7 linked regions of the Sus scrofa genome follow. The protein of the gene in region 4 interacts with the protein of the main gene of each other region in a biochemical or structural test. Links are inferred from orthologs where the notes say so. Each region holds a gene or a part of one and is shown on either strand. Other genes may lie near its edges.

Region 1 (4,711 bases), on a different chromosome or scaffold from region 4:
TTCCCCATCTACCTGTCCACAGCTGCTGATGCCGGAAACTCTGGAGTCAGCCCTGGCGCCTGCTGGCTCGGTTCTCACAATAGATCCAGAGCCTGCCCCTCTCCTCATCACCTCCACCGCTGCTACCATGACCTCTCGCCCGGGTACCTCCTCACCGGCCTCTGGGGTCCTGTCCTTGTCCCTCTCTCTGCAATGGTTAAAACTCAAATCGGATCACGTCCCTCCACTACTCAAACCTTCTCATGGCTCCCATCTCATTCAGGGTAAGCGCCAAAGTGCTCCCCCGCCCCAGAAGGCCCTTAACCATCCACCCCGTCACCTCCCTGAGCCTCATTTCCTCCTGCTTCCCCCGCCCCCCGGCCACTCACTCTGCTTCTCCTGCATTGGTCTCCTCCGTGTTCCTCAACCAAACTGAGTAGGTCCCAGCTGGCACTTCCCCCTGCCCAGGACAAGCTTCTCCCAGATGTTCTCTGTAGCTCACATCCTCACCTCCTGCAGATCCCCACTCGCGTACTGAGGCCTCCCCTGACCACCCTATTTATTCTGGTCTTTTTAGGGCTGCACCCACAGCACAGGGCAGTTCCCAGGTTAAGGGTCGAATTGGAGCTGCAGCTGCCGGCCTACACCACAGTTCACGGCAATGCTGGATCCTTAACCCACGGAGCGAGGCCAGGGATCGAACCCGCATCCTCGTGGATCCCAGTTGAGTTCGTTAACCACTAAGCCACGAAGGGAACTTCAATAGTAAAGTCTTTTGACATCCTGACTCTTCCACTGGGATAGGGGTGATAGATACTAAACTGGTGAATACATAAGTATAACAACAGACAAACAATGACATGGCTAGGAATAATCTGAAGCTCAGGGGAAGGGGAGTGGCCAAGCAAAGCCCTCTCTGAGGGTCTCCTGGAGACATGACTGTTAACTGGGAGAGAAGGTGGAAGTGAATTTCTGGAAAGGGCATTGGCCAGAGTAAAGGCCTGAGGGGAGGGAGTGCCTGGCATGTTGGAAGCACAGTAAAGGGACCAGTGTGTGTGAGGTGAAGCGAAGCAAAGCGAATGAGGGGGAGGACTGGCTGATGAGGTCACCAAGGTGCTAGGGAACCAGATCACGTGGAACCTTAGAGGCCAAGAGGCTGGGGTGAAGAATGTGAACTTTACCTTCAGGGCAACAGTTTGCCCTTGAAGGACTTAAAGAGAGAGAACATCATCTTATACATATTTTTGGCGTGGAGGGGGAGCATGGGCAGCAGGGCTGAGGGTGGGAGGCCTCTGCAAGTCTAGGTCAGAGATGATGGTGGCAGCAATGGAGGCGGAGAGGAGAGGTGAGATTCTGAACATAGAGCCAAAAGGATGTGCTGATAGATTGCAACGTGTGACTCTTCTGTATCAGCACAGACATCCCTTCTTCAAGGAAGCCTCCTGGGAACCCTGGATGCTAGTCTAGGGTCCTCTATTAAACACTTCTGACTCCCCTGGTCTCGAGTCCTTCTTCATGAAAACACCTCACACTGCTGGCGGCTGTTTGATGACCTGCTCTCCTTATCGCCTGTCAGCTCCTGGAGAAGGATCCCTGTCTATCTGGTCTGATACATCTGTAATCACCATCCCTGGGCACACAGTAGGCTCTCAATAGATATGTGTTGACTAAATGAAAAGAACCCATTCGAGCCTGAGCCTCGTCTCCCTAGGTCATGTGCTAGAGTAAGAAAGGATTCATTCTTGCTAATGGGCTCTAAGGGTGTATGTTTGTGTGATTTGAGTATGGCCTGGAGAAGCCAGCCTCACCTGTCATCCCAGAGGCAGTGGAATTCATTTAGCTGCTCATCCAACACCAAGCCAGTGCCAGACGGTGTCCTGGCCTCCAGGTTCAGATCCTGTGAGGAAAAAGAAAAAAGGGAAAGGCTGATGCATTGAGAGCCTGAGTCAGAGGGAACCTCCCACACTCTCCAGGATGGAGAACCTCACGGTTTTGATTGTCACAGGAGGCTACATTGCAGCCAGGCCCCCTCTCACCAGCCCTTGGAGCCCCACGATTAGGTCTTGCTCGGCTGCTTGGCTAAGCTTCTTCATTCTGCCTTTCTTCTTTACATCCGCTAGATTGGGGCTGGAGCGGAGTCCGGCACCCTTTTTAACACCTCGCTTCTGCCAAACAGAGAGAAGGGTCAGAGTCCAGTACACGGCCCACTGCTCCCCCTCCCCCTCAAGAGGGCCGGTCAGGGGCCTCACCGAGGTGACGCTGGAGTCGTGTGGGGGGGAGTGGGGGTTGTGCCTACTTCTTCGCTGCCTGGTTGTGGTGGAATCCTGGCCGGTGGAGGTCATGGCTGGGGAGACTTCACCCCTGACGCGGTTCTGGGGGGTGGGATGGAGGTGACTGAGAAGGGGCCCCGAGCGCCCTGAAGACCCCTCATCCCAGCCCCTTCCCAGGCCCCGCCCCCTACGCTAGCCTCCATCCCTTAGGCTATCTATTCCCCACCACCTCTAAACTCCGCCTCTCTCAAGGCTCTCTCCCTCCAAGGGGGTGTCCATTCCACTTGGTCCCGCCCATTCCACGAGGCTCCACCCCTTTACACTATTCTTTACCCTTTCGGTCTGGCTCTTTCACAGAGCAATTAACCCCCTGGCCCAGTCCTGATCTAAGCCAGCCCTTGCCAGCTAATCACCGCCCCTTTCACTCTATCAAGCCCCATTCCCAGATCCTTTCATTCCTCAAAGCCTCGCCCAGACCCCACCCCTTCGCAAACCTGCCCTGGCCAGCCAATCTCCCAGGATAATCACCCACCCTTTCACTCAGCCAGCCCCAGCCCCGGGCCCCGACTCCACCCTTAACGATCCACTTAACTCCACCCCTTATCGGGCTGGACCGGCACCTTCCACTAGGCTAGATCCCGCCCCTAACGTTTCAAGGAGCCCAGCTCCTCAGGGGACTGCCCTTTCCCTTCCGCCAGGCTCCACCCCCTGCCCAGGCCCAACCCCAAACGCTTCCCCAAGCCCCTACAGCCATTTCCGAGCCCCTCCCCCAGACCCGCCCCCCCCTCCCCGCCCCCGCTGTCGACGTTGACGAATCCCTCCACTCACTTGGCGCAGCCCCTTTCTCAAACTCCGCCCTTGGCGCGCGCCGCCAATTTCTCGGCGACCTGTAGGGCCGCGGGTGCCTGAGCCTCTCTTTTCCATTGGGCCAGATCTCTCTACAGCCCGCCCCGATCCCGCCCACACCGGGGAGAGCCGGCCTTGCGCCTCCAGCGGAACGCACAAACGGCGGATCAGCGCGTCAGTGCGCGACGCTGGCCGTGCCGCGCCTGCGTGAAGCGCGCGCCGGCTGCCTGACGCGGCGCTCGGGCTCAAGCTTCTCCCCTCCCCCAATCGCCACAGCTGTCACCCTGGCGGTCGTGACCGCGGTTTCTTTGTCCCTGTCCAGTTACCTTAGGAGCCCACCGGACTCGCGCCAACTGTACCGTGCGGTGACTCAAGAGTGCAAGCAAGCAAGCGAGGGAGTTAGGAAAGGGCGTCTTCTCCCTGCCCCCTGGCTTCCCGCGCGGCGCGCCGTGATGACGTAGCGCGGGCGGGCTGGTGGCTGGGCCTGGAGCGCGGTGGAAATTGGACGAGGCTGGTGGCGGCCAAAAAGGGAGTGGTGATGATGACAAATGTGAGAATTTTCTGAGTTCATATTCACTAAGGTGGTACGCAAGGAAGCACTCACCAAATGTTAGCTATTAATAGTCTGCCGCGAAAATGGATGGTGGAATGGAAGGGGGAATGATCGTGACGATAGCAAGTTGTATGTGACAGGCATTGTCGTAAGCCACAGTTCTATGAGGTACTTCCCAGTACTAAGGCTGCTTTGCAGATAAGGAAACTGAGGTTATGGGACTTAGCCATGTGACTTTGGGCAAGTTACTGAACGACTCTGTGCTTCAGTTTCCTCCTCTGGGAAATTGTGATAATAGTGCCGGGGAGTCAGAATGGACCTTGGGAGGGGAGTTTTTCTTGGGTGACAGCTCTTCCTGTCTGCTCCCTCCAGTGGGTAACCTCTGCACGCAAGCTGGAATAGAAAGTGTATGGGTAGGGGGGAGTTGCGCCCCCCCCCCACAATGCGCCCTCCCAACTCTCTCCCACCCCATGGCTAAATGTCTGAATATCAGCCTCGCAGGAGGCCGGTTTGTCCTCCTAATCTCCCTCTCTCATTCTTCACCATTTCCTACCGGGCTGTAGGCTGGGGCGGGAGAGATAAGGGGTCTGGGGTTCAGCATCGCTGACTAACCAACAGATTGACAGCCCCACCGCCCAGTAGCTGGGCCCTCTGACACTCTTGCAAACCCGTTTCAACCTAGTCTTCCCTTCCACTCTTTTCCTACCTGAACGTGTCTTTTGTCCCAGTGGAAGAGGGTCGCAGCTAAAAGACCTTTACACCTCCACGTACGCCAGAGAAAACATGTATATGCAGTGATAAACACAGAGGAACGTTCTGAGGTGATGCTTGCAAAGTGAAAGAGTAGGGAGTCTTGTAAGGGCCAAGACCCACTTTTTTTGTATAGTCAGAAGGGAGGTTTCTGTACAACAAAGGTTGGCAAACTTTTTCTGTAAAGGGCCAGATAGTAAATATTTTAGGTTTTGCAGGCCACATACTGGCCTCTGGGGCATTTTCTTCCTTCCTTTTCTTTCTTTCACTTTCTCTTTTCTTTTCTTCATCTTCTTTTTTTAGGGCTGCACTC
Region 2 (4,639 bases), on a different chromosome or scaffold from region 4:
GCACCCTCTGGGACGGTGTACACTTTGAGGTTCCAGTAGGTAATGCTGTTGCAGTCTGACGGCTCATTTCTGTAATAAAAAAATGTAAAAATAAAAGGAGGCAGGAGAAAAACAATTACAACTTGTATATAAATACTGTTTACGTGCCTGCAATACTTTAGCGTTCATGCAAAATTTACTGTGAGCAAGAGAATACAGGGAAATAAAGAAGGCTTTTAAAAAAAAAACATAAATTGACACAAATACGTGAGTTGTACTCTTCTCAAAAGGTTCCAGAGCACATTTAGAATTCCTTTTCTCTAAAAAATGTTAAAGGGAGTTCCCGTCGTGGCGCAGTGGTTGACGAATCCGACTAGGAACCATGAGGTCGCGGGTTCGGTCCCTGCCCTTGCTCAGTGGGTTAATGATCCGGCGTTGCCGTGAGCTGTGGTGTAGGTTGCAGACGCGGCTCGGATCCCGCGTTGCTGTGGCTCTGGTGTAGGCCGGTGGCTACAGCTCCGATTCAACCCCTGGCCTGGGAACCTCCATATGCCGCGGGAGCGGCCCAAGAAATAGCAACAACAACAACAACAGACAAAAAGACAAAAAAATAAAAAAAAATAAAAAAAAAAAATGTTAAAAATCATACTTGGATGGACTACGTGGAATAAATGCTAAAATAGAAACTGGACCATAAACAAGAAGGAGCTTAAGTGCAATAAAATCAGTTTTGACTGGACTTTCTCCCCCACCTCCCCTACTCATTCTGAGTCAGCTGTTACATGTGCTCCAGGGAGTTACATGTGATCCAAAGGATCACCAGGGTACTGACTTTGATTAATTCCTCCTAATGATGAACGGTTACCTGCTCTAGGAGTAATTTGGGGAATGAAAGGGGCGACAAGGGGAAGGGTCTGCTGCCATCCCACCATCCACCTCCTCTTCATCATCCATCTTCATGGAAAGTTAACACCAGCTAGGAATTAATCTTGTTTCCTACTGATCCATGCCCCCTTCAAAAGTGAGAAAGTAGAAGAGAAATGGAGGGCCATCCTCTCATAAAAGTTCTGAGTCCAGTATTTAGACACAGTAAATCATTCTACTTCCATTCTACAATATAAACCAGTATAATTTGCAAAGGTGAAGGAGAGTCAAGAAAATAAAGATCAAAAGCACCAGAGAGACTCACACAACAGTGGAGGTGAGGGATAGAGTCAACAGGTAAAGAATGCCTCGTACCCTAAAGTTCACCAGTGTTGCTGAAGCATTCATCAGCACACCAATAAACACTATTTATGAAATAAATGCCATCTGGAAGAAATGATCAACAATGTTAACTATGTGTCAGGGTGAATGAAAGATAAACTAGCAGCTTTTCCCAGGAATCTACCTTTGCTGGGATACGGTAGGCCATTTTCTTGGGGATGACAAAAGATCAGTCTACGGACGTCCTTAAGAGTATATTCCCAAGAACCCTAAGCCATATTTCTATCAAACTAAAATTTAACTCTTCAGATTTCATATTTTCCCTAACTGTAATTATTCTATCGGAAAGATCACTGTCACTAAAGGACTAAAGTTCAAGGAGAAACAAAAGTACCACAGGATTCTATCATAATGTGGCCCATCACAAGGATTTAAGACAACAGGAATCAATTCTTACCATCTGAAGCCCTGTGTAACCCAGGTGTTCTAGACCAATATAAAGGAACTCTCCTGTAATCCAGTTTTCCCCAGGAGATTTTTTTGTGCATATGATGATCTATGCATTTTATTTTAGGTCACTAGCAGAACAATGGGCTTAGCATTACCAAAATGCCCTGTATGTGTGCTGTATGCTTACTTCATAGTCCATTTTATGCTGCTTATTTTAAGAGAGCAACGTAGTAACTGGGAAGTGGTTCCTTCAGCACAAAATGATCTAAGCCACCAATGCCTTTCAATTCACTACGCCAAAACAACAAATCGCGTCAGGAGGCAGTAAACTCAGTTTGTATTCAACATAATATAACTACTAAGCAAGCAAAGCATTACTGTTTAATTTCTTGACCTAGGAAAATAGTTACACATTTATCATCAATAGTTCAGACTTATGATATAACACATATTTATTATTTTTCCAAACACTGTAGAAAAAGCACGATTTAAATTCCTATTCAAAGTGTGAAAAGCAAGCAAAATGTAGCTTGTAATTCTTATGAATGAAAGTATTACAGGACAGCAGCTGCTAAAACCTCCCAAAGCTCAGAAGATGGAACCCAGCTCCATCTTCAAACAGAAAAGGAATCCTAAGAACACAGCAGACCTGCAGTAGGAATCAAGGATTCAAGTGTCTGGACAACCCTGGAGGAGTCATTGCATAACCTGAAGTTTGTTTTAAACTGAGAAAAGTAGAGCTGCTCAAAAGAAACATCTCCAGCTCAATTACGCTGCAGCCATTCCCTGATCCATTCAAATTCCACCAGCTTATAACAACTTGCCCAATTCACAATTTAAGCAACCCAGTCTCTTAACAGTAATACCTTTTCTCTTCCTTGTCCCGGATGCTGGTAAACAAGTGAGCAAGACGCCCCTCCAGGAGTACAGAAAAGGTAAGGGAGACTTCCCGGTCATGAGAAGCCAGGCAGCTCATAGCCTTTCCCCCACGAATAGAGACTATTTGTAACAGAGGGCCCTACTGGACACCTTCCGTTCCTAAATTTGTCCAGGGTCAACTTTTCAAGACAGGAAGGCACGTGCCATGCCCCATACACTCCATTCACTCCTCAGAAGCACCGGCTACAGCGGCAGAGAAATGAAGCACCCTCCCGCCCCGAGAGGAGTCGACCACACCTCCCCATGAGCTCAAATTCGCCTGCGTCTCCAAAAATGGGAGCCATTGCTGAGCTGTCCTCTGCTGGGCCCTAAACCTTCGTCTGTCTCCCAAGTTTGTCTTCCCAAATTCATCGGCTAGGCTCTGGCCAGCTCGGTGAAGGACAGGGCTGGAGAGTGCGCAGCAGCGACTGGACGAAGCGGTGCAGCTCTCAGTCCCAGCTCTGGAGCTACCGCTGCAGGGTCCGGCCCGCGGGGAGAGCCATTTGGAGGCCTGGGCCGGGCTGCCGCTGGGAGAGCCTGCTCCAACGCAGATTGCCAGCCGGCCGAAGGCTCAAAGCACTCAGGGCGGTGGCTGCCGCGGCAGGAGAGGGGCGGGCCGGCGCATGGAGGCGGGGCTGCAAGCTCCGCCCCACTCGGCCTAGGGCGGCTCCAGGGCTCGCAGTCGCTCCTGCACGGCTCTGGCAAGAATCCCGAGCATGCAGCGCGCAACTCCCACACAGCTACCCAGCTCCGCAGAACCTCGCGATCCCCGGAGACATACCGCACGCCTCAGCTTTTCCACCGGCTTACGTGAGGTGGAAACACTCCGTTTCAGTAGGCCCAAACAGTCGGATATCGCAATTTGGGGTGGTTTCATAGCGCTACATAGAATATATGGAAAATACGTGGCCAGACAAGCACTCTTCTCTGCTCTATACTCTGCCAGTTAACCGTGCAAACTCCGGATTTTTATATAGCAAAAGCATTTGTCTACTTCATTAACTATTTATCAGATGTCAACTACCTTATTTCCTCAATTCTAACTCACTTCTCCATTTTTACCGCCGTCAGCACCTTATTTCAAACTTCCTTTCTCGATTCGAGAAGCCGTCGCAGTGAGAGTCGTAAACACATAACCATATTAAACTTCTACTTCAACGTCCAAATTGAGATTTTATTCTCTTCCCACTCTGGGAAAGCCATCTTAAACGCCCTCATTAAACAAAATAGCTTGTTTTGTTTTTAAACAAGCATTACCCTTGTCCCAATAAAGTCCTGGGCCTCAGATTCTCATTGCGTCAGCTCCAGCATTCAGAGGTTTAACCTGTCATTACATCACGCTTAGGGCAGCCTTTAAAGGGAGCAAGAGCTTGTAGTGGAGAGTGAACCCTGTGTAAATTGTAGATTGTCCATTTTCAGCATAAAATTTTAATTCAAATCACTTCCCCATCCTATTAATAGTATTCAGTCACCTCAGTCTCATTTTGATATTAGACAAAACATCATTAGGAACTGAAACATAACTGAAAATATAATCTGTCCACGGACAAATCTAAATTATTATTACCAATGTCTTTATTTTTTAATACATATTCACTCTAGCTAGGTGTTGGGTTTCTAAAGTAGAAGACTTTTAAATGTTTTAGGCAGAAAAACTCTTTCCAAACAGTATGAAGACAGAGTCCAAATTTGTAAAACAAGTAAAAAGGATGACAAATTCCTCAAACTAAAAAGTTTTTTTCCTCCAACTTCCAAAGGACCTGTATTGAAGCTTACAACACTGTCTGAAAACCATTAATCTATGGACACATTTCTCAGTAAGTCAGTCACGACAGTAAAAATGGAAGAGTTCCGGAGTCATCTACACTGGGATTCAAACCCAGCTTTCACCACCTACTCAACTGTAAAATCAGAACAGTACTGCCAGCCTTGCATGCTTTTACATGGATTAAGGGAGATGGGTAAATTACGTACATTACAGGTGGTACAGATTCCAAAATATGGAAGTATTCACTTACATAATTCCAAAAGTTAACCTGCCTTGCCTGAGGTCACCAACTAGAGACCAAGTATACCAAAGATTAAC
Region 3 (4,581 bases), on a different chromosome or scaffold from region 4:
TTTTCTCAATTCTAAAATAGGTTAAGTAACAGTACTTAACTAAAAAAAGTGGTTGTGTGAAGGGATATATTCCATGTAAACATTTAGCACAGTACTTGGTGTGTAGTAAGAACTATTTTTTTGTCTTTTGTCTTTTCAGGGCTGCACCTGCAGCACATGGAGGTTCCCAGTCTGGGGTCTAATTGGAACTACAGCTGCCAGCCTACGCCACAGCCACAGCCACGCCAGATCTGAGCCACATGTGCGACTTACACCACAGCTCACCACAACACCAGATCCTTAACCCTCTGAGTGAGGCCAGGGATCAAACACGCAACCTCATGGTTCCTAGTCAGATTTGTTTCCACTGCGCCACAACGGGAACTCTGATGTACAGCTGTACAGTAAGAACTTAATACTGTTTTTCTATGTTATGTGAAAATAAAGTTAATCTTGGTCGTTTCCATCACCCATGATGGATTATAAATGCCCAGAAAGATGACAGTCTATAACAACTAAATGATCTTCATATTAATATCAGTGTTGCATTTAACACATCTAAGCAAAGTAGCTAAAATGGGTTCACCAAGTGGATGAACTAGATATACACCCCGAAGTATTAAAAGTAATCTGGGCCTTATCTTTTTTGACAGTAAAGAAATCACTGTACCTTTCTGAACTGTAATTTCATCACCAATCCCAAAGAAATCAAACAGAAGTTATAGAATCTACTGACCATAACACAAAATTTAATTTCATTTCCAGCAATTAAAAAGAACTACTTGGAAACCATTCCCCTCTAAAGCCACTCATTCCAGATAAGATTGCTTTGAGTGACTGTGCAAGTCATTGACTAAAAACAAGCAAAAAACCCCAAACTCTCACCGGCTATTAAATCTTCGATAGCTTTGTTGTTATTCATCTAAAAAAAATCTCGAAAATTACCTACCAAAAATTCTATCCATTTTTGCACTCAAATCACTATTTGTTTTTTCTCAGTACTGCCCCCTTCCAGTCTACCAATCAGCAGCCCGTGAGAAAAGCTGCACTGACTTGATGAAGAAGTCACAGGCTCAAGGGATGTAACAGTACACAGACAACTCCAACAGCCACAGCGACAGTCCCTTCCTTAGGGTGAGCACCGCGTGCATTACATAATCACAACGAACTAAAATATTGTTATTCCCATTTTACAGACATACTCAGAGAGGTTAGGCAACCCATCCAAGGTCACATCTCTGACAGAGGTGACGCCACGATTCAGACTCGACTGTTTTGTGTTTTGTGTCAGGTTTTTCCCTTACGACCAAGCTCCATCTAGTACACCGCCGCGCTCGCGCTCTCGGGAGCGCTGCTAAGAAACGCAGCCCTTCCCCGCCCACCCGAACCGCGTGGATCCACAGGTGTGCCGCAGGAGCCGTTGTCCCAGACCCCGGCCCGCCGGGTCGCGACGGCCCCTCAGGCCCGACCGCAGCTCCCGCGCCCCTGGGCCTCGATGCGAGCGGGAGCTTGGGCTCGCCCAGCCCTTCCGACCTCCGCGCCCCATTGTTCCCGATCTCACTCACCTCGGAGGATGCCGGTGCAGGCCCGGCTGGGGCGCTCGTGGCAAGCTCCCGGCGGCCCAGAAAGCTGGGTCGGTGACGGCAGGACCCACGAAGGCGAACCCGGCGACTTCTCCGCCGGCCCTCAAGAGCCGGAGCGGGCGGGGGCGCTTCACCCTCCTCGCGAGACAGCGGAGACCCCGGCGGCTGCTGCGACCCCTGTGACGTAAAGCGATCATCACCAATGGCAGCTTGGGGGCGGTGGCAGAAGGCAAAACCCACTTGGCAGGCCCAGCGCGTCAAAACACAGCACCCGCCAACGTAACGCATGCGCGGTGGAAGACGCCAGCAGCGAGGGCGGGGCCTAGCGCGCGCAGCCCGGACCCGGCCCTTCCCCCACCGTCCACCGCCCTCCGCCCCAGGAATGGGAGCGGCGAGAGCACCCCCCAGACAGAAATCGCTACCACAGCTTCACTCCTGTTACTATCAATCTCTCGGGGGGTGGCGGCAGGGGGGTTAATGTTCGCTTCTACCTTACCCGGAAGACACGGTAACTAGTTCGATCTCCTTTCAAACCTCACCAAACTCTGAGAAGTTACTGAAACTCTCTGCTGTACAGATAAAGGAACGGAGTTACACGGAGCTGAAGTGACTTTCGGTTGCAGTTACCAACCAACACCGGGATTCGAATGGAATCCCAAGTCCGAGGTTTACAGTCTTCAGAGACAGAGATCTATTCCAGTCTGGGGATAAACAGGGATTTTACCTATGACCACAGAGCCTTGAAATCGTCCCCAGATGACGTTTTCCTCCTTCCGCACTCCCCGAAAGCTGGATGAAAACTCTGTGCAGTTCATAACTGAGATACTTAGAGACAAGACATCTAGAGCCTAAAGCGGCCCGTTGCCTCATTCTACCGTTAGGCCTCAAATGTGCGCGTCCCAAACATTCTAGAGCTGAACTTACTACAACGGCCCGAGTACAGAACTCCGTCCTTTGGCTTAATATTTATCTGATCTTGCTACCGTTCTGAGCACAAATGTTCAACCAACACTTGTTGATTGGCAGGTACATTAGGCTAGGTAGTCCGTGCCAGGTGATTTCTTTTTATAAGTATCACTGGCATCAACAAGCCATCGCGTTCTCAAAGACTTTTTAAAGAAGCTCAATTAACAAGGACTCCCATAACGATGCGTTAGTTAACATAAAAGCGGGCGGCATTCTAGCTTACTTCAAAGATAAATATACACGAACGACTACCTATGTTGTGGGAACAAGTCCCGGAGGAAACATTAATTCTTCCACCGCTGGACGCCGGTGTAATATTTAAAACGTGGATTTTTTTTTCAAGTAAACTTTTAAATGCACACGACAGTACCTTATCCTGCATTAATACTGCACAGCAAGTGAAGGAAGATCGGCTGACGAGTCAAGCCTATCCCTCTCAGCGGCAAAAACAAAAAACCCACTTTTGAAGTAAATAATTCCTCGTTTCTCTCACCTCCTCCCTCAAAGGCGGGCTAGGCCGCCGTCACGTGACCCGCCCCCAGCTCCGGGCGGAAGAGGCCGGCCGCTCGATGGGAAACGCGCGCGGAGGCGACGGGGCGGGCGCTCGCGCCCGGCTGCAAGATGGCCGCCGCCGCCGCCGCCGCCCGGCAGCCACCGCCCCGGAGGATACTACAAGGCCTGTAGCTTCCGCCCGTGCCCGTGGACCGCCGCCGCCTCCTTACCATGAAGCCAGTGAGTCGCCGCACCCTAGACCGGATTTATTCAGCGGTAGGCCCCGGGCCTGGCGGGGCCCCAAGGGCTCGACTCCTCCGGCCCGCGGGTGGAAGGCCCCGTATTTCTTCAGCGCCCAAAAACTCCAAAATCCATTCCTGAATTAAGCTTTTCACTCCCTCACCTCGACTCCGCCTCTTCCTGGAGGACACGCTCTTCCGCTTCTTACGTCAGGGCGGCTTGGTGTACTCGCCTCCGGAACCCCATTTATTCGTTTGTTATTAAAATTTGCACCTTGGCAACGTGCAGGGCTGTCTGATGGGGGCGGGGAGGAAATGCCACTCACGTGTTTTTGCTTTTACTCCTTTTCTTGCATTTTTCAGTTGCTCCTCGCGGTCGTACTACTCTCATGGGGATATGTCATCTATGCATCAACTGTAGCTGCGCGGCGACAGCTAAAGAAGGAACACCCAGACAAAATGTTCGGGACGAATGAACATTTGTAACGCCTCTGAATTTAATTCTATGTATATACAGTTCTTTACCTCATGCTTATCGGACTCGTCTTGATTCACAATAAAATCCTTAATACAAGTTTCCACTTTCATTTTGGTGTAGTCTTTTGTAATAACCGTTAATGTATTAATTTATCAAATATTTAGGGGTTTGTCTTTTATCATCTCATATAACAAAGAACCTGGATCTGACAGCCTTTCAAGCTAGTTTCTAAAACACTTTTGAAATGCCTCAAAAAGCCTTCTTTAAAACAATCTGTAGTTCCCATTGTGGCTCAGCGGTAACAAACCAGGCTAGTAGCCATAAGGATGCCGGTTCAATCCCTGGCCTCACTCCTTGGGTTAAGGATCTGGAGTTGCATGTGCTGTGTGGTGTAGGTGGTGGACGCAATTCAGATCTGGCATGGCCATGGCTGTAGCAATTAGACCCCTAGTCTGGGAATTTACATGTGTGTGTGGGGGGGGGCGGCCCTAAAAGGCAAAAAGAAAAAATTGAAAGTGTGTAAAATTTCTTATATTTATTGCATGATTTCATTATGTTGCATACCTTCACATAAGACTAGATTACATACTGTAAGAAAAAAACTATCATGTGACTAAATTTCCTACATCCTCTTTCCAAATCAAGAATGGCCAAAAAAGTGACTTGCTCAAATCATTTAACATGCCCAGTTTTTATTTATTAAATAATTCAAAGAGTCTCAAATTGTATAATGTTTGGGAAGAAAAAGACACATATCTGAGAGTAAACTTTATTAAAGTTACTTTTCCAGAAAATATATTCAGTAAGTGTGGTAATATAGCTCATATGCCTTTGAAATTTTAAA
Region 4 (4,121 bases):
CACCAAAGCTCAGGGCAACGCTGGATACTTAACCAACTGAGCGAGGCCAGGGATCGAACCAGCAACCTCATGGTTCCTAGTCAAATCCATTTCTGCTGCTCCATGACGGGAACGCCTATTATGTGAAAGATTTTAATTTTATTTTAATTTTTAATTTTTTTTTGTCTTTTTGCCTTTTCTAGGGCTGCTTCCCGCAACACATGGAGGTTCCCAGGCTAGGGGTCTAATCAGAGCTGTAGCCACCGGCCTACGCCAGAGCCACAGCAACGCGGGATCCGAGCTGCATCCGCAACCTACACCACAGCTCAAGGCAACACCGGATCCTTAACCCACTGAGCAAGGGCAGGGATTGAATCCACAACCTCATGGTTCCTAGTTGGATTCGTTAACCACTGAGCCACAACGGGAACTCCAATGTGAAAGATTTTTAAAAGGACACTAGAATCCACATGAATTTTTTTTTTTTTTGGGTGTACCTAAGGCATGAGGAAGCTCCCAGGCCAGGGACTGAACGTGCGCCACAGCAGTGACAATACTGGCTCCTTAACCCACTGAGCCCCAGGGAACTCCTTTAGCATTTAAAAAACAAGTTATAGGAGTTCCCTGGTGGCTCAGAGGGTTAAGGATCTGGTGTTGTCACTGTTGTGGTGTGGGTTCAATCCCTGGCCTGGGAACTTCCACATGCTGTGGGCACACCAAGAAAAATCACAAAAGACCTCATTACATATTCAGACAACATTTATTAAAAAAATTTTCTAGGCATTCCCGTCGTGGTTCAGCAGTTAACAAATCTGACTGGGATACAAGGGAAAACAGGTTTGATCCCTGGCCTTGCTCAGTGGGTTAAGGATCTGGTGTTGCCGTGAGCTGTGGTGTAGGTTGCAGACGTGGCTTGGATCAGGCATTGCTGTGGCTGTGGCTGTGGCTGGCAGCTATAGCTCCGATTAGATCCCTAGTCTGAGAACCTTCATATGCCTCAGGTGCAGCCCTAAAAAGCAGAAAAAAAAAAAATTAAATGACCATGGATTCCTCTCCTGAATCCTTCAAGAGAAACAGTTTTCTTAAATTTTATAAAAAGCAAACTACCAAGTTGCTTTTATTTATTTTTTTTTTATTTTTATTTTTTTTGGTCTTTTTTTTTTTTTTTTTTGTCCTTTTGTTGTTGTTGTTGTTGCTATTTCTTGGGCCGCTCCCGCGGCATATGGAGGTTCCCAGGCTAGGGGTCGAATCGGAGCTGTAGCCACTGGCCTACGCCAGAGCCACAGCAACACAGGATCCGAACTGCATCTGCAATCTACACCACAGCTCACGGCAATGCCGGATCATTAACCCACTGAGCAAGGGCAGGGACCGAACCCGCAACCTCATGGTTCCTAGTCGGATTCGTTAACCACTGCGCCATGACGGGAACTCCTGCTTTTAGGGGCAGATGCTTCTAACTCAAAATAGTAATTCAAGTTCTCTTCTGTTGGAGAACCATGACAAAATTAAGAGGCTGGCAAAGCAAACAGCATTGGCTAATGAAACAAAACAGCTTCAGATGCCCTATACATACATCTCATAATTTATTAAAGAACAGTGCTATATACATTTGCGAAAGTTGAGAATCTCCATGGATTATGTATCAGTCCTTACAAGGATGCTATAGATTATTTGAAGTTTAGACTAACATGCCACATGTGCTACATTATTCTAAAGTGGTAAATATGTCTCTCTTTTAAAAGCATTTATTTTATCTGCCTAGTCTGACATTTCTTCTTAGATGAAGTGAATTAGATGTAAAGCTTTACTCATTACGTCAATAAATAATTCCATCTAATGGGTAGGACAACTGGTCCCAAAATCTTATTATTATTATTATTTTTGTCTTTTTAGGGCCGTACCCATGGCACATGGAGGTTCCCAGGCTAGGGGTCCAATCAGAGCTGTTGCTGTCAGCCTATGCCGCAGCCACCACAAGGCCAGATCCGAGCCACGTCTGTGACCTACACCACAGCTCACAGCAACTCCGGATCCTTAACCCACTTCGTGAAGCCAGGGATCGAACGCGAAAACTAGTTGGACTTGTTTCTGCTGCGCCATGATGGGAACTCCCCCCAAATCTCATTTGTATTGCTATGTGTGTGTTTGCGTGTCTCTGTCTCTCTCTTTTTAAAGATAAAGCCCAAACTAAAGGAGTAAAAGGTCAACTGGCTTATCCCCAAATTCCTAGCTCTAACATTTAAATTTCTGACATTTCATCATTTAGATTTGCCCATCAACTCCTCAAGCAAGAGTAATATAAAAGATAGGAAAACAAAGCAGTATCAAAGCAGAAGAAAACACAGTAAATTGGTTTTTTTAAACTTTTGTCTCTGAGATACCTCTGCTGTATTTTTCCTGTCTCACTGTTACCAACAACTATAAATCTGATAAAGGAAATTACCTTTTGATACAGTCAGAGCCGGTGACCACTGTGACCTCAGGATATCGAGACAAATACTTCCATTACTGTTTATGTTTGGATGGTAAATTTTTGTTGTGAAAGCAATCTAGGCATAAAACATAACAAAACAAAACTGTGACAACCCATGAACTATGAAACCAAACAATTAATTTGCCCCAGGGTAAAATGTCCTCAATTTTATGTGATCTTACTGGAGAAATGCATTCAACACAAACTGGATGAGCATCTACTTTATACTCGCAAAGCTTTAGCTATTGATAATGTGAAAGCAAATAATCAGTCTCCTGCTCTCCCCACCCCAAGGAATTAAGAATTATTTTGGAAAGTGTGATAAATAAGTCTACAATGGTTAGTATGACTGGTTCGGCAGCACCTGAGGTAATTAACCATCCCTCAAAGCAAGACTTTTCTTAATTTGATTAACAAAGGGACACCTGGATCTAAAAATAGGATGCTGACCCTATTCCAGAAGAAAGTTGAGGGGCCTCGGCTTATAACCTGTCCTAAGAAATTCACCAAGAATTCTAATCTTCCACAAGAGCTGTTATATCACTTCATATACAATGTTTTCTTTGGTCATGCCTACAGCACACAGAAGCTCCTGATTCACGGATCAAACCCACACTACAGTAGCAACCTGAGCTGCAGCAGCAAAAACAGGAGGTCCTCAACCTGAGGAGCCAGAGAGGAACTCCCTATTCAGGGGTTTTTAAAAATCTAAAATAATTATTTCTTGAGTGACAGAATTTGTTAATGATTTCCTCCCGCACTGATATACTCCCATCATTTGTTTCCTCTTTTGATCTAACTTTAATAAGAACGTGCTTTTAATCCCACCTACCACACTAAAGGGACTGTGTCACATTTAGTTTTTATATTCCCCAATGCAACAGAACATGGTAGGTGTTCAGCAAATGTTTACTGAGTGCTTAAAAACTGAGAAGGAAGGGCCAACCTAGGATAGATAACCCCTTGAATGGAAAGTCTAATTCTTAACCATAAAACCCCCCTGTACTACATATATCTAATGAGGAGAGAAAGACAGGTAGGGAAGCTAATTTACTGCCTAAGAGACACTGCCTCCTGTGTACAGACATAATACAATATTTGAGTAAGAAAGCATAATTTAGATTCAGTGGTTTTATAGAAAAGATTGAACATGCCAGCCTACCCATGGTCTTTTGACATCATGAAAATATTGGATAGAGTAAAACCCCTGACAGAGTTGTCACATGAACCATAAAAATAAAGATACCTTTGGTGGTTTAAAAGGATAGTCTGTCGGGAAATGTACAGTGAGAAAGAAGACTCCACCTTGATATGCGCTATCAGGCTGAAATTACAAAATAATTGCATCAGTGTTTGATTACTATATTTATTAGTAGTAACCTAAAATGATTTCCCCAAAATATATCATTAAAAAAAAAAAATGCCAGGAGTTCCCGTCATGGCGCAGTGGTTAATGAATCCGACTAGGAACCATGAGGTTGCGGGTTCAGTCCCTGCTCTTGCTCAGTGGGTCAACGATCCGGTGTTGCCCTGAGCTGTGGTGTAGGTTGCAGATGCGGCTCAGATCCCGCGTTGCTGTGGCTCTGGCATAGGCTGGCAGCTACAGCTCCAATTAGATCCTTAGCCTGGGAACCTCCATATGCTGTGGAAGCGGCCCAAAGAAATA
Region 5 (4,121 bases), on a different chromosome or scaffold from region 4:
CCCCTCGCCCTTGGCAACCACAAGTCTGTCCTCTAGTCTATGAGTCTGTGTCTTTTTCGTGGCTAAGTTCATGTGTCTGGCTTCTTTACTCAGTATGTCTTTGAGCTTCATCCATGTTATTGCTTGTATCAGTTATTTGTTCTTTTTTATCACTGTGTAGTATTCCATTGTAAGACTGTGCCCCAGTTTGTTTATGCATTTACTTGTGGATGGATACCTGGGTTATTTCCAGTTTGGGGCTAATATGAAAACATTCCTTCTGAATGTTCTTGTACAAATGGACTTTTTTTTTTTTGTTTAATCTCTCTTGAGTAAATACATGAGCTTGGTATTGCCCAGTCAAGGGCTCCCCTATTAGTTTTGTTTGATCAGACAGACACTACCAGTCCATTTGTCCCAAGTGGTTGTAGGTGATTAACTTTTTAAAAGAATCGTTTATTGTGTAGGTAATTTGTTCATATAGTTGAAACTTAAAAATCAACAGTGAAAATACCCTTTTTCTACCACATACACCATTCTTTCCAGTTCCTATTTCTCCAACAGGTAGGTAAATGTTCTTGTTTTCTTTACCCTGGATGTTTTTATCTGTCTACAAACCTGCAAGAAACTTATACTATATACACACTTGTATACTTTGCTTTCTAAAAGGTTTTAATTTTGAGTTGTCTGGTCTGTGTGCTCCATTATATAATATAAATTTACCTAAAGTTGAATAGCCCAGTGTGTATTCTGATTGGACAAATCACAAAACTTTTGATTGCTTGTATACTTTTCATGCCAAGGTAAAAGGGTAGGGGATGTTAGATGCTACAGCCCTCATGACTTAGATTTGATAACTATACCTTTAAGGAGAGCGTGTTTACCTCAGGTCTTCTGAACTAAGCAGTTCTACAGTTTGGTTTCTGCACCCTAGAAAGTGACACTTGAGCTGGAGTAGCATCCAGTACTTTTCCATGGTAATGCTTTTAAATATTGTGGGTTTTCAACATAGTGTCTGTGAGGATTTGGGTTCAACCCCTAGCCTCACTCAGTGGGTTAAGGATCCGGTGTTGCCACAAGTTTCGCTGTTAGGCTGCAGATGCGGCTCACATGCAGCTCAGATACCATATTTCTGTGGTTGTGGTGTAGGCCTGCAGCTGCAGCTCCAATTCGACCCCTAGCCCCGGAACTTCCATATACCACAGGTGCAGCCCTAAAAAGGAAAAGACAAAAATGACCAGCCAAGTCCAAACTCCATAGATGGGACCTTGCAAAAGTAAAATAACTTTATGTTCCTTGGTTTCCTCATCTATAAAGGAATAATGATCTTTCTTAGGCATTTGATAAGGTTAAATGAATTAAGATATGTGGAAGTGTTTTAAAATTTTGTAAATGAAAAAGAACCATGTATCAAGTAGGAAATTATATCAAAATATAAAGTTACCAAACAATATTAATACCAAAAACCCCTAGGAAGAGAAGAGTAGAAACCCAGCAGATCTGGGGTTCTAAAGAAAGAGCAGGACAGTCCCATCAAGTTGTCGCTGAATCGGTCCTTATGTCACTCTGTTTAGGAGTCATCTCCACTTAGTCTGGCTGACATCAGGCACTCTGCCTTCAGCAGGAGGTTGTGTGCAACTGGGATGAGGTCCCACTAGATTGTGTCTAACACATGATGTGTGGTTCCTGCAGAGCAAAATCAGGGTGCTATGGCAAGAAAAGGGGAAGTGGATGGTGGGCAGGCATAAACAGCAAGCAAATGCCTCAAGAACAGTGCAGACGTCAGCATGCTCTGTGTGCAGTGTAGGGATTTTGTAACAGAGGCAGAAGAGACTGCTTTTAAGAGTCAGCAATGGCTAATATACTTGGGAATTTCATTTGCATTGTTTCATGGAGGAGTTCCCGTTGTGGCTCAGTGGGTTACAAACCTGACTAGTATCCATGAGGATACAGGTTCAATCCCTGGCCTCATTCAGTGGGTTAAGGATCTGGTGTTGCCATGAGCTGTAGTGTAGGTCACAGACATGTCTCAGATCCCACATTGCTGTGGCTGTAGCTTAGGCTGGCAGCTACAGCTCAGATTCATCCCTAGCCTGGAAACTTCTGTATGCCACAGGTATGGTCCTAAAAAGCAAAGACATACATACATACATAAATTCATGGAACAATATATCTATGATAGACTGACTTTTCAGTATGTATAGTATACTTAAACTTGAAGCTCTCAGATCGTGCCAATGTGTATAACCTATCAAAAAATGCTCACTTTTACTTCTGTGCCACTTAGCCTTCAATGGCTCCTACAAATAGGTCAAGATTTTGAATTCTGTTGATTATGTTAAGACTTTATCATGATCATCTTTAAGTAAACCAGAGAATATATTTCTTGACTTGCAGGACATTCCTAATCGTGGTAATTTTGACTAGATAATTTTCAACATCTACAGATGAGGTTTTTTGGGGGTTTTTTTTGTCTTTTTTTTGCTATTTCTTGGGCCGCTCCCGCAGCACATGGAGGTTCCCAGGCTAGGGGTCCAATTGGAGCTGTAGCTGCCAGCCTACACCAGAGCCACAGCAACTCGGGATCCGAGCCTTGTCTGCAACCTACACCACAGCTCACGGCAACGCCGGATCGTCAACCCTCTGAGCAAGGGCAGAGATCGAACCCACAACCTCATGGTTCCTAGTCGGATTCGTCAACCACTGCGCCACGACGGGGACTCCCCAGATGAGTTTTAAATTATTTTATAATGACATTACTACCAAAAACCCCTAGGAAGGGAAGGGTAGGAACCCAGGCAGATCTGAGGTTCTAAATAAAGAGCAGAACAGTCCCATCAAGTTGTCACTGAATCAGTCCTATGTCACTCTGTTTAGGAGTCATCTCCCAGAGAGAGGGTTCACTTAGTCTGGCTGACATCAGGCACTCTGCCTTCAGCAGGAGGTTGTGGGCAACTGAGATGAGGTCTCACCAGATTGTATCTAAGACATGACATGTGGTTCCTGCAGAGCAAAATCAGGGTGCTATGGCAAGAAAAAGGGGAAGTGGCAGAACAGCTCTTAATATACAAAGTGTCATTTAATACAGTTTCTAAGAGTTCCCAGGTGGCTCAGTGGGTTAAGGATCTGGCATTGTCACTGCTGAGGCTTGGGTCACCGCTATGGCATGGGTCCAGTCCCTAGCCTGAAAACATCCACTTGCTGACAGCGCAGCCAAATAAAAAAATAAAATAGAGTTTCCACAAATGAGCACCTAGTGCTGTTAAGGAAAGTGATGTATTCTTGGTTGGTTTCCTGCAGATTCTGCCGTTCCTGCATTGCTACCAGTCTAAAGAACAATAAGTGGACCTGTCCTTATTGCCGGGCATATCTTCCTTCAGAAGGCGTTCCAGCAACTGATGTAGCCAAGAGAATGAAATCCGAGTTCCAGAATTGCACCGAGTGTGACACTCTGGTACGTGACCCTGCTTTTGTTCATGTTACTGGCTTAGACCTTTGAGAAAATGGTGATGGCAGCCACTCCTTTCACCTATGCCTTTGACCTCATGCTACCCTGACTTTCCAGAGTTTAATATCTCAGCCTCTTCTCTTCCTTTCTCCCAATTTCATATGTATGGGCTGCAGGACTACAGTCACATGACACCTGATTTTTCAGACACACACTTTTGCCTACCACCTCCATTTCCTCTCTCCCCATTACTCCATGACCCTCTATTACCTGGCCTCCATTCCTGCCATGCAATTGCAGCCCACCCAGCGAATAGCTTTATTTGCAAATCCAGTGGCACATTTCCACATATGTCATTCTGGGCTCTGCAGTATTTATCTCTGTTAACCACTTCCTCCTTATTGCAGTTTTTCTCCCTTGATGCGACACTAGCCTGGTTAGATCATGTGAGCTCTTGCAAGCCGTGTCAAAGATTGTAGATTTCATCTTCAGTGCAGTAGTGAGTCATAGGAGAAGTATAAGCTTTTGATCAGGTTTATATTTTTGAAATATCACTCTAGCGAGTGCATGGAAAATGTTTTGAAGGGGACAAAAGTAGGGTTGGTAAAGCCAATCAAGTGGCTTTTAGGGCAGGTAGTAAGGAAACCGGGTTAGGGCAATAGCAAACAACAAAAGAGATTATTTCCGAGTGTTT
Region 6 (2,885 bases), on a different chromosome or scaffold from region 4:
CTGGCTGGCGGGGAGGGAGGCAGCCCGGGTGCGGAGGGGTGCTTTGGCCTAGAGGGGCTGGCGAGCGCGCTCAGTGAGCCAGGCAGGTGGAGGCACGGGCCAGACAGCAGAGGTGGGCAGCACTTCACATTTATTGAGGGCCTGCCCCCAAGGAGCTCACAGCCTGGGGGCTGAGACCCCACATGTGCCAGGGGAAGTGAAGAGAGGAAGGCAACGCAGACACCGCGGCCCAAGCAGAGGGGATGCAAAGCAGGCACAGGCAGGGGGTGGTGGGGTGGGGGAAGAACGGGGGCCTGGCCAGCCCCGCTAGACTCCGGGAAGGACAGACTTGAGGACAGCCCTCCCCCGCCCGGAGGGCAGCACCTGGGGTGCACTAGGGTGGCCCAGCTCCTCCGCCTACCCTGAGCCAGGCCGCACCCTCAGGCCAGCCCTCTCCACCATGCAGACCCCTGATGGAGAGCAGGTGGCCGGGGAGGCCAGGGCAGCAGGGCGGAGGCGTGGCCTATGAGGGCAGAGCTGGAAGCCTTGGTGGTCCTGGGGCTCTGGGCCAGTCTCCAAGGAACTTCCAAATTCCCCTGGAAGGCCTGGCTGGCTAAGGAGGGCAGGGGCAGAGGCCTGAAGGGAAGGAAGCAGAGGCCCAATAACCAGGAGGGGTCCCCAAGAGGCCTAGCCCCCTCAAAACTACTCCTGGCGGGGAGGCTTGGGGGTGGACAGGTGGAAGGCTGAGAGGAAGCCACCTGAGGGGGGTGGGGCAGCCAGACAGAGAGCAGCCAGGAGGGCAGCAGCAGAGCAGGGACACGCACACACGCGGCTCACCACCAGCGTCCCCTTTAATAAAACATGGAAGGTCGTGTGACAGGGAAGGGCGTGGGGGGTGAAGTACGACCATTTACAACCACAAAAAAAACCTCTGTACATGTCTAGTGCCTGGCAGAGGGGAGGGCAGGCAGGGCGGCGGCAGGCCGGGCCAGCCCTATTTGTAGAGGATGTCGTAGTGTCCAGGCCGGTAGAGAAGGTAGACCTTGGGCTCGGAGCCCTCGGGGAAGATGTGGGGGTTGGTGGTGCCGCCCTCGCCGCGGTCCATGTACTCCACCTGGATGGAGACGCTGAGCGCCTGGGCCAGCGCGATGATGTGGATGTGGTCGCTCTCCTTGCACATGGGCTCCACCTCCTGCAGCACAGGGGCCGCTCAGGGCCTGGGTCTTGGCGCCTCCGCACCCCCAGCCACCCGGTGCACCCCCGGGCCCCGAGGCTCCCACCCTGAGGCCCCAGTGAGTCTGGGGAGCGGGGAGGGGGCAGCACCTGCTGGCAGAACTCCTTGACGGTCCGCCCACCCTCGATGAAGTGCTCGAAGAACTTGCTCTCGCGCTGCAGGTAGCCCGAGGTGAGCAGCCGCAGGTAGACCACCAGGTAGTCCGAGGTGCTCTGGTCGTTGAAGGAGGCCAGCAGGTCGGCCACTGAGGTCTGCTTCTCCACCTGCTCGATTAGGTCCATGAACTGCCGCCCAAGGGGGACAGAGAGCAAGTGAGGGAGGAGATGGGCCGATGCTGCCTCGGCCAGGCCCCCCGCCCTCCACCCGGCCGAGAGGCTCACCGTGTTGTGGAAATCCTCAATTGTGAATTCGGTGAAGCCCTGGGACACCAGGTCCTCTTTGCTCTTAGCAGACACAGCCTTGAACCTGCAGCCGGGAGGGAAAGAGAGGCTGCGCGGGCTCCTCGGCCAGCAGAGAGGCCAGCTCAGAGGTGGGGGCCCGGGCAGCACGGGAACCGCACCTCCTGGTCCCCAGGAGGATGGAGGGAGCCCCTCGGGCCCTTCCTAGGACCCTGCCCCACCCGCCTCTTTGTGCTCGAGGGCCCGCCCTCCTCACCGCTGCAGCTCCTTGCTGTCATCCAGCAACGCCTCCAAGTGGGAGAAACCGAAAGCACGATAGAAGCAGTTTCCATCAGGCCTGGTCTTGCGGATGTACGAGTACTTTTTGTGGAGGTCCTGCGGAGAGGCAGCCCCCGCCCCACCCGGGCCCATCAACATCAGGCCAGAGCCAGGGCGGGCCGAGGAAACCGCCCTGACGAGGTTGCTCTACAGCAGGTGGCAACTAAGCTCCAAGCAGCCACCTGCCATCCTTGGCTGCTGACTCTGGTGATGCTACCAGGAGCCCCCAAAGCCTCAGGAAACTGACTTCTGGACACATAGGTTGCACGGGTCACCAGCGGCTGGGCAAGTGACTGAGTCCTTGATCAAAGCAGCTTTTCCAGGGAAGGACCTTTCACACTTGGAGAGCTCCAGGGCAGCGTGGTGCCCATGGCACAGCCTGGGGCTGGACACAGCCTCCCTCACCTCCTTCTAAGCTCTACCCCGCCCACCCTCAGGCACTGGCTCCATCTTTTCTGGTTCCCTCCCCAAACTCAGTGAAATTTCTTCTCTGTCTGTTGAACCTCCCTGTAGGAGTCAAGGCCTCACTCCCTCAGCCTAGGCGCCCTCCCCTTCTCCCCGACACCCATCTCATACCTTTTCTGTTCTCTTCAAACCCCCACCCACCTTGACCTTGCTTCCTTTTGGACTGAAGACTTCCCCTGAGAACCCCAGCCCCCACGGCACACCTGCCCATGGCCTTCACTCTGGGCCCTGGGAGGGTCTGAGGCCACGCCTCCCTGGGATGAGACACTGTTCCAGGGACACTGTTCCAGGGGGTCGCCGCCCTCCCTACAGGTTCAGACCCATCAGCATTTAAACACCAGGAGAGTTCTCCCTTTAAAAAAAAACCTTTGCTTCACACGAATTCCTTTCCAGCCACCACCCAATTCCCCTGCCCCGTGCACTGTCTCCGTCCCCTCCTGCTGTGACCTCAATCCAAGCAGGCTTTTGCTCTAGTGAAGGTCACGGATGCC
Region 7 (4,805 bases), on a different chromosome or scaffold from region 4:
TACATATAAGGATCATGATATCAGGGTGAAGACAAGGCCCTGATTCTGTGCAATCAGAGAATTACAGTTAATGACCCCAATTGCCTTTTTTACAAATTGGGAAAACAAGGCTCCAAAAGGTTATGTCAAATGTCCCAGTTAACATGCAGCTCTCGGTTTTTTTTTTTTTTTGGTCTTTTTTACCTTTTCTAGGGTTGCTCCCGTGTAATACGGAGGTTCCCAGGCTAGGGGTCTAATCGGAGCTGCAGCCACTGGCCTACACCAGAGCCACAGCAACTCGGGATCCGAGCCGCATCTGTGACCTACACCACAGCTCATAGCAACACTGGATCCTTAACCCATTGAGCAAGGCCAGGGATCGAACCTCATGGTTCCTAGTCAGATTCGTTAACCACTGAGCCACAACGGGAACTCCAGCTCTCGCTCTTTATACCTCTACAGTACTAGCAAACCTATTCCCCTTTTCCTTGTCAGTGCTTGCTCACTGTGTCATTTGCTCCTTTCAGAATGAAGGGGGTGGGGGTGGGGAAGAGTGGAAACAAGGAAGTGTTAACTACATCAGAATGGGTGGACAGGTAAATCTTAGATCAAGAAGTCATAAAAATTTTGAAATAACCTACAATGGAAAAGAATCTGAAAAAAAAAGTGTGTGTGTGTGTGTATTTGAATCACTTTGCTGTACACCTGAAACACTTTTAATCAACTACAATAAATTTTTTTAAAAAAGAAGTCATAACAAATCATTTAGATGTATGAGATGAATTCTGAATTCCAAATATTAAGGAAGTGGGATTAGATAGGCTCTTTGTAGAATCTAAAAATCTCTGAATTATGCTTATAGCTTTGATTTAATTATTTAAAAAAAAAACAACTGACCTAAATGTATAAAAATTCCTAAAGTTTCAGATAAAAGAAAACATTTTTCCTTTGGTGATATTCCTAATATCTAAAACAGCACATTTCTAAGGAGTACAATAACAGTAACACCTTTAAGAATGACGCTACCCTAAGGATTGGCAAGTCTATAAAACTTCCTTCTGCCGTCACCTGACCACTAAGTGGATTTTAACACCTTATAATCAAAATATAGAGGTCTAGTCCAGAATACTTTCCTGAATCCAAAGTACAGCTGTTGTAAATCTGCAACATTAATCCACAGTAGCGGAATACTTGCTATAATTAGAAAGTTAATGTGCCTGTTAAGTCATTTAGAGCCCATACTTTGACCAGGAAGGTTTATTTGCTGCCAAATTTCAACCATTATTTAAAACTCTGCATTTCTATTTACAAATTTAAAATTTTTCCCTGGGGAGAAGAAGAAAATAACCTTTCAGAAAAACCTCTTTTTTTAATCACTTAGGGGATAAAATTTTTAACAAAGTTTTTTCTCATAAAAGAACAAAAATTGTTTGGATAAGTCAAAAATGCCACTCAAAGCAGAAATTATGATTTCAGTTTTTAAGTAAGGAGTAGGGTAAGGGGGCTGTATTGCAGGCCAATAAACAAGGTATTTTTAAAACCTAATATGCAAAACACGTGGATCATGTCTGAAATAAAATTCTTTTAAAAGTAAAAAAATAAATATATGATATCTCATTGTTGTAAATCTGCTTTTAAAATGAGTCCTTATTTTATGAATAAAAAACAAGAAAACATACTACAGAGAGGGTAAATGAAGAAACCTCTTGATTCTGGCAGTTCTGAATTTTCATTCCTCAAGAAGGGAGAGTGATTTTTTTTTTTTTTTTAGATTTTATTTTTTCTTTTATAGTTGATTTGGTTCCTAGTCGGATTCATTTCTGCTGCGCCACGAAGGGAACTCCTTATAGTTGATTTGAGAGCAATTTTTGAGTTATTTTCTCCAAAACTCTGATTTTTCGGTTTAAGATGTAAAAGCTTTCAAACTATAGAAACCTCGGTTTCATTTAAGATGCTCTCACAGTGATTTTAAATGCCCTATTAAAAAAAATAAGGATGCATTTAAACAGCATCTCTTTTTCAAGGTGTTCTGAGATCTTAGAACAGAAACCATATAAAATATAACAGGATGAAGCTGTCCCGAAAGGTTTCACTTGGTCCAATATTTTTAAAAAAATTTATAGAAAGAAGTGACTTATTTGTAAAAGAAAATTCTCCACAAAGGCCTATCAGGACACTGTCTTCTCCAGGAAATGGCATCCTTTGATAGCGTAGGGCCAGGAATGAGATTAAAATTTATGTTTCTGAATAAAGGGCTTAACATTCTTCTTCAAGACAAGCTACTGCCATCTGACCAGTCTTGAATCATCCAAGTTTTAAAGCCAGCAGAACAGTAGCTAATCCCGAAAGGCAACAGCTAGGGACACTTCTTTCCTGCGCCTCTCCGGAACAAGACTAAGAGTCATTACTGTGGAAGATGACTCCAGAGCATCACTCTGGTGTGTGAAAAGAAGCATTAAAACGACCCGCTGACTCAGGGCCTTGACCGTGACCTCTACAGTTTGCTTTTAGAAAAGGGTGGCGAGGTTGGGCCCACAAACCAAAGTGGTGCCTCGCAGCTCCCATCAACTCACCTACTTTTATTGTCTTGACCACACCCATCACTACCTGAAATTACCTTTTTAACTGCCCTGCTTTCCACCTGTTTCGTTCCCCAGACTACCAGTCCCCGTCGCCGGCCGCAGCCCTCCGACTAGCAGCAGCACGGGCGTGGCCCCAGTCTTTCGCTCCCAGGCAGGGCGACCCCGCCCCTATACCTCCAGGAACAGTCTCTCCGAGGCTCGGTGTGTCCCACGGGCCGGAGCTGGGCCCGCGGAGGCCGCAGCACAGCCAGGGTCTCGAGTGCAGCGCTTACCCATCACCTGGACCCTGCAGATGGCGCACGTATCGCACTCCACGTCCCAGCTCCACATGGCCACCGCGTTCCACTTCTTCAGAGAGAACATCTTGTCGCCTCCCGACTTGGTTCCTGAGCTACCGGAGTGAGAGGACAGGGCGCAGGGCTCCTCGCCGTCTTCCACGTCTGCCATGGCGGCGGCGCGAAGCCGGCGGCGGAGACGTTAGGTTGCGGAAGGCGGGCGACTATGGCGGCTCCCTGGGGCCCCTCGCCGGGCCACAGCGCCGCCCGCAGGCTGCGGGCCACCGTGGGGCCTACGACGGAGGCCGCCCGAGACTGGCTGGCGCGTCCCAGTGACGTCACCGCCCCCGCGCCCTGGGCCCGGCCCGCTCCGACTCTTTGGCCAAGAATGGGCGCCGCGCTCAGGAGGGTTGCCGGTGCAGGAAGCAGGTGTTCTGCTTTATGCCTTCGTGACCCTTCTGGCTCTCACAAGTTGTCATATTGATGTACTCCCTTCCTAAATGAAAACGCCATCGGAGCGAGGACGTGACTTGATCACCACCTTCTCCTGGGTATGTGAAAAATGCCTGGCCTCAGGAGGGGTAGTTATTTGTTGAGTGAATGAATGACTATCTTTTAGAAATCTGGTTCAGCCGTTCTCAAACTTTTTGGTCTTGGCACCCCTTTACACTTAAGAATCACTGGAACATTAAAGAACTTTCGGTTTGTAAAATATGTGTACACACAAACACACACTTTTTTTTTAAGAAATACGAAAAAAATTTTAATGTATTCACTTAAAAAATAACCATAGGAGTTCCTGTTGTGGTTAAGCGATGAGGAACCCGACTAGTATCTAGTATACATGAGAATGCAGGTTCAATCCCTGGCCTTGCTCAGTGGATCGGTGTTGTTGTGAGCTGTGGTGTAGGCTGGTAGCTGTATCCGATTCAGCCCCTAGCCTGGGAACTTCCATATGCCACAGGTGTGCCCCCACCCCCCGCCCCCGCAAGGAAAAGCAATAAACCCATTACAAGTAATCATTAGAACAAGGATATCACATATCTTGTAGCTTTTATAAAACTCCACTGTATACTCACAGGAGAAAGTGAAGAGAAATAGCGGTGAATATTGTTATGCAAATACTTTTGACCTTGTTTCCCCTGAAAGGATCCCAGGAACCCCCGGGGACCACACTCTGAGAACCTCTATCTAGTCCAACATCCTCCTTTTATTGATAGGAATGTTGAGGTCCAGAAAAATAAGATAAAGACACACCATTATTCCCTAAAGGTAACTGTTTTGAATCCAGGGTTCTTCTGCATCTAGCCCGGGGTCATATTATTATGTTTTCCCAAGCAAAGCAGATAACATCTCTATTTAAATAAGAAAGCTGTGGTATGGAGAGCCCACGAAGATGCCTGATCACCACTACCACCTAGTGGTGGACACCTGCTGTGTCGGGTTTGGAATTCAGAGCCTCCCACCTTTTCCTACTGGGCCTCATCCCCTCCTCTCCTGATGTCTGGATGGGGGCTAGAAGCTCCAGAAATCTGGCGGAGGAGGCAAGGAAGCATATATGTGTGAAAATATAAATGTGGATACATTTGGGTCACATTTGGCTAGATGCTGATGGAAGAGGTGACGTTTGAACTGGGGGAAGATGGGAGGCATCGGAGGCCCGGAAGTGGGTGGAGAAAGCAAACCTCTGCAAGGCTGTCAGGTTGAACAGAGCAGTAGTAGTGGTGGCAGATGTAAAGTTGACCCCACTAAGTTTATGAGCCAGACAAAAATGCCTGTAAACAAACCCAGATGAACCATAAAGGACACACATTTTACTCACATTAAGCTACCACACATCTGACTAGAGATGCTATAAATGCCAGATAGTTAATTTAAAAAAGAAGGCTAGAACCAGATGAGGATAAAATGCCCCCAGTTGGGGGGAACTGGGCAGTTTGAAAGAGAAAAGGAGGGAACTCAGATGAAA

Evidence for each region.
Region 1: the proteins of UBE2D1 (region 4) and HDAC6 form a complex in vitro, tested with the Homo sapiens proteins (2 studies listed by BioGRID, with this or other methods). The link is inferred for Sus scrofa from reciprocal best matches to the Homo sapiens genes UBE2D1 and HDAC6.
Region 2: the proteins of UBE2D1 (region 4) and SIAH1 form a complex in vitro, tested with the Homo sapiens proteins (3 studies listed by BioGRID). The link is inferred for Sus scrofa from reciprocal best matches to the Homo sapiens genes UBE2D1 and SIAH1.
Region 3: the proteins of UBE2D1 (region 4) and TOPORS form a complex in vitro, tested with the Homo sapiens proteins (3 studies listed by BioGRID). The link is inferred for Sus scrofa from reciprocal best matches to the Homo sapiens genes UBE2D1 and TOPORS.
Region 5: the proteins of UBE2D1 (region 4) and RNF125 form a complex in vitro, tested with the Homo sapiens proteins (4 studies listed by BioGRID). The link is inferred for Sus scrofa from reciprocal best matches to the Homo sapiens genes UBE2D1 and RNF125.
Region 6: the proteins of UBE2D1 (region 4) and OTUB1 form a complex in vitro, tested with the Homo sapiens proteins (2 studies listed by BioGRID). The link is inferred for Sus scrofa from reciprocal best matches to the Homo sapiens genes UBE2D1 and OTUB1.
Region 7: the proteins of UBE2D1 (region 4) and RNF7 form a complex in vitro, tested with the Homo sapiens proteins (11 studies listed by BioGRID). The link is inferred for Sus scrofa from reciprocal best matches to the Homo sapiens genes UBE2D1 and RNF7.

The regions. Positions count from the first base shown.
Region 1 is NC_010461.5:42,916,772-42,921,482, reverse strand, and holds the start of HDAC6 (histone deacetylase 6), read right to left. Parts: upstream 3,271-4,711; 5' UTR 3,174-3,270; coding exon 3,078-3,173; intron 2,936-3,077; exon of another isoform or gene 2,782-2,935; intron 2,771-2,781; exon of another isoform or gene 2,744-2,770; intron 2,352-2,743; coding exon 2,229-2,351; intron 2,145-2,228; coding exon 2,016-2,144; intron 1,877-2,015; coding exon 1,788-1,876; intron 1-1,787.
Region 2 is NC_010448.4:36,359,196-36,363,834, reverse strand, and holds the start of SIAH1 (E3 ubiquitin-protein ligase SIAH1), read right to left. Parts: upstream 3,276-4,639; 5' UTR 2,593-3,275; coding exon 2,502-2,592; intron 993-2,501; exon of another isoform or gene 930-992; coding exon of another isoform or gene 845-929; intron 70-844; coding exon 1-69. UniProt on the Homo sapiens protein: E3 ubiquitin-protein ligase that mediates ubiquitination and subsequent proteasomal degradation of target proteins.
Region 3 is NC_010452.4:33,864,909-33,869,489, reverse strand, and holds the start of TOPORS (E3 ubiquitin-protein ligase Topors), read right to left. Parts: upstream 3,062-4,581; 5' UTR 2,911-3,061; coding exon 2,899-2,910; intron 2,877-2,898; exon of another isoform or gene 2,287-2,876; intron 1,740-2,286; coding exon 1,545-1,739; intron 1-1,544. UniProt on the Homo sapiens protein: Functions as an E3 ubiquitin-protein ligase and as an E3 SUMO1-protein ligase. Probable tumor suppressor involved in cell growth, cell proliferation and apoptosis that regulates p53/TP53 stability through ubiquitin-dependent degradation.
Region 4 is NC_010456.5:92,302,339-92,306,459, forward strand, and holds part of UBE2D1 (UB2D1), read right to left. Parts: intron 3,780-4,121; coding exon 3,702-3,779; intron 2,532-3,701; coding exon 2,426-2,531; intron 1-2,425.
Region 5 is NC_010448.4:115,870,954-115,875,074, forward strand, and holds part of RNF125 (E3 ubiquitin-protein ligase RNF125), read left to right. Parts: intron 1-3,279; coding exon 3,280-3,433; intron 3,434-4,121. UniProt on the Homo sapiens protein: E3 ubiquitin-protein ligase that mediates ubiquitination and subsequent proteasomal degradation of target proteins, such as RIGI, MAVS/IPS1, IFIH1/MDA5, JAK1 and p53/TP53.
Region 6 is NC_010444.4:8,087,713-8,090,597, forward strand, and holds the end of OTUB1 (ubiquitin thioesterase OTUB1), read right to left. Parts: intron 1,987-2,885; coding exon 1,868-1,986; intron 1,679-1,867; coding exon 1,594-1,678; intron 1,498-1,593; coding exon 1,303-1,497; intron 1,172-1,302; coding exon 974-1,171; 3' UTR 816-973; downstream 1-815. UniProt on the Homo sapiens protein: Hydrolase that can specifically remove 'Lys-48'-linked conjugated ubiquitin from proteins and plays an important regulatory role at the level of protein turnover by preventing degradation.
Region 7 is NC_010455.5:82,546,823-82,551,627, reverse strand, and holds the start of RNF7 (RING-box protein 2), read right to left. Parts: upstream 3,154-4,805; 5' UTR 3,009-3,153; coding exon 2,834-3,008; intron 1-2,833. UniProt on the Homo sapiens protein: Catalytic component of multiple cullin-5-RING E3 ubiquitin-protein ligase complexes (ECS complexes), which mediate the ubiquitination and subsequent proteasomal degradation of target proteins.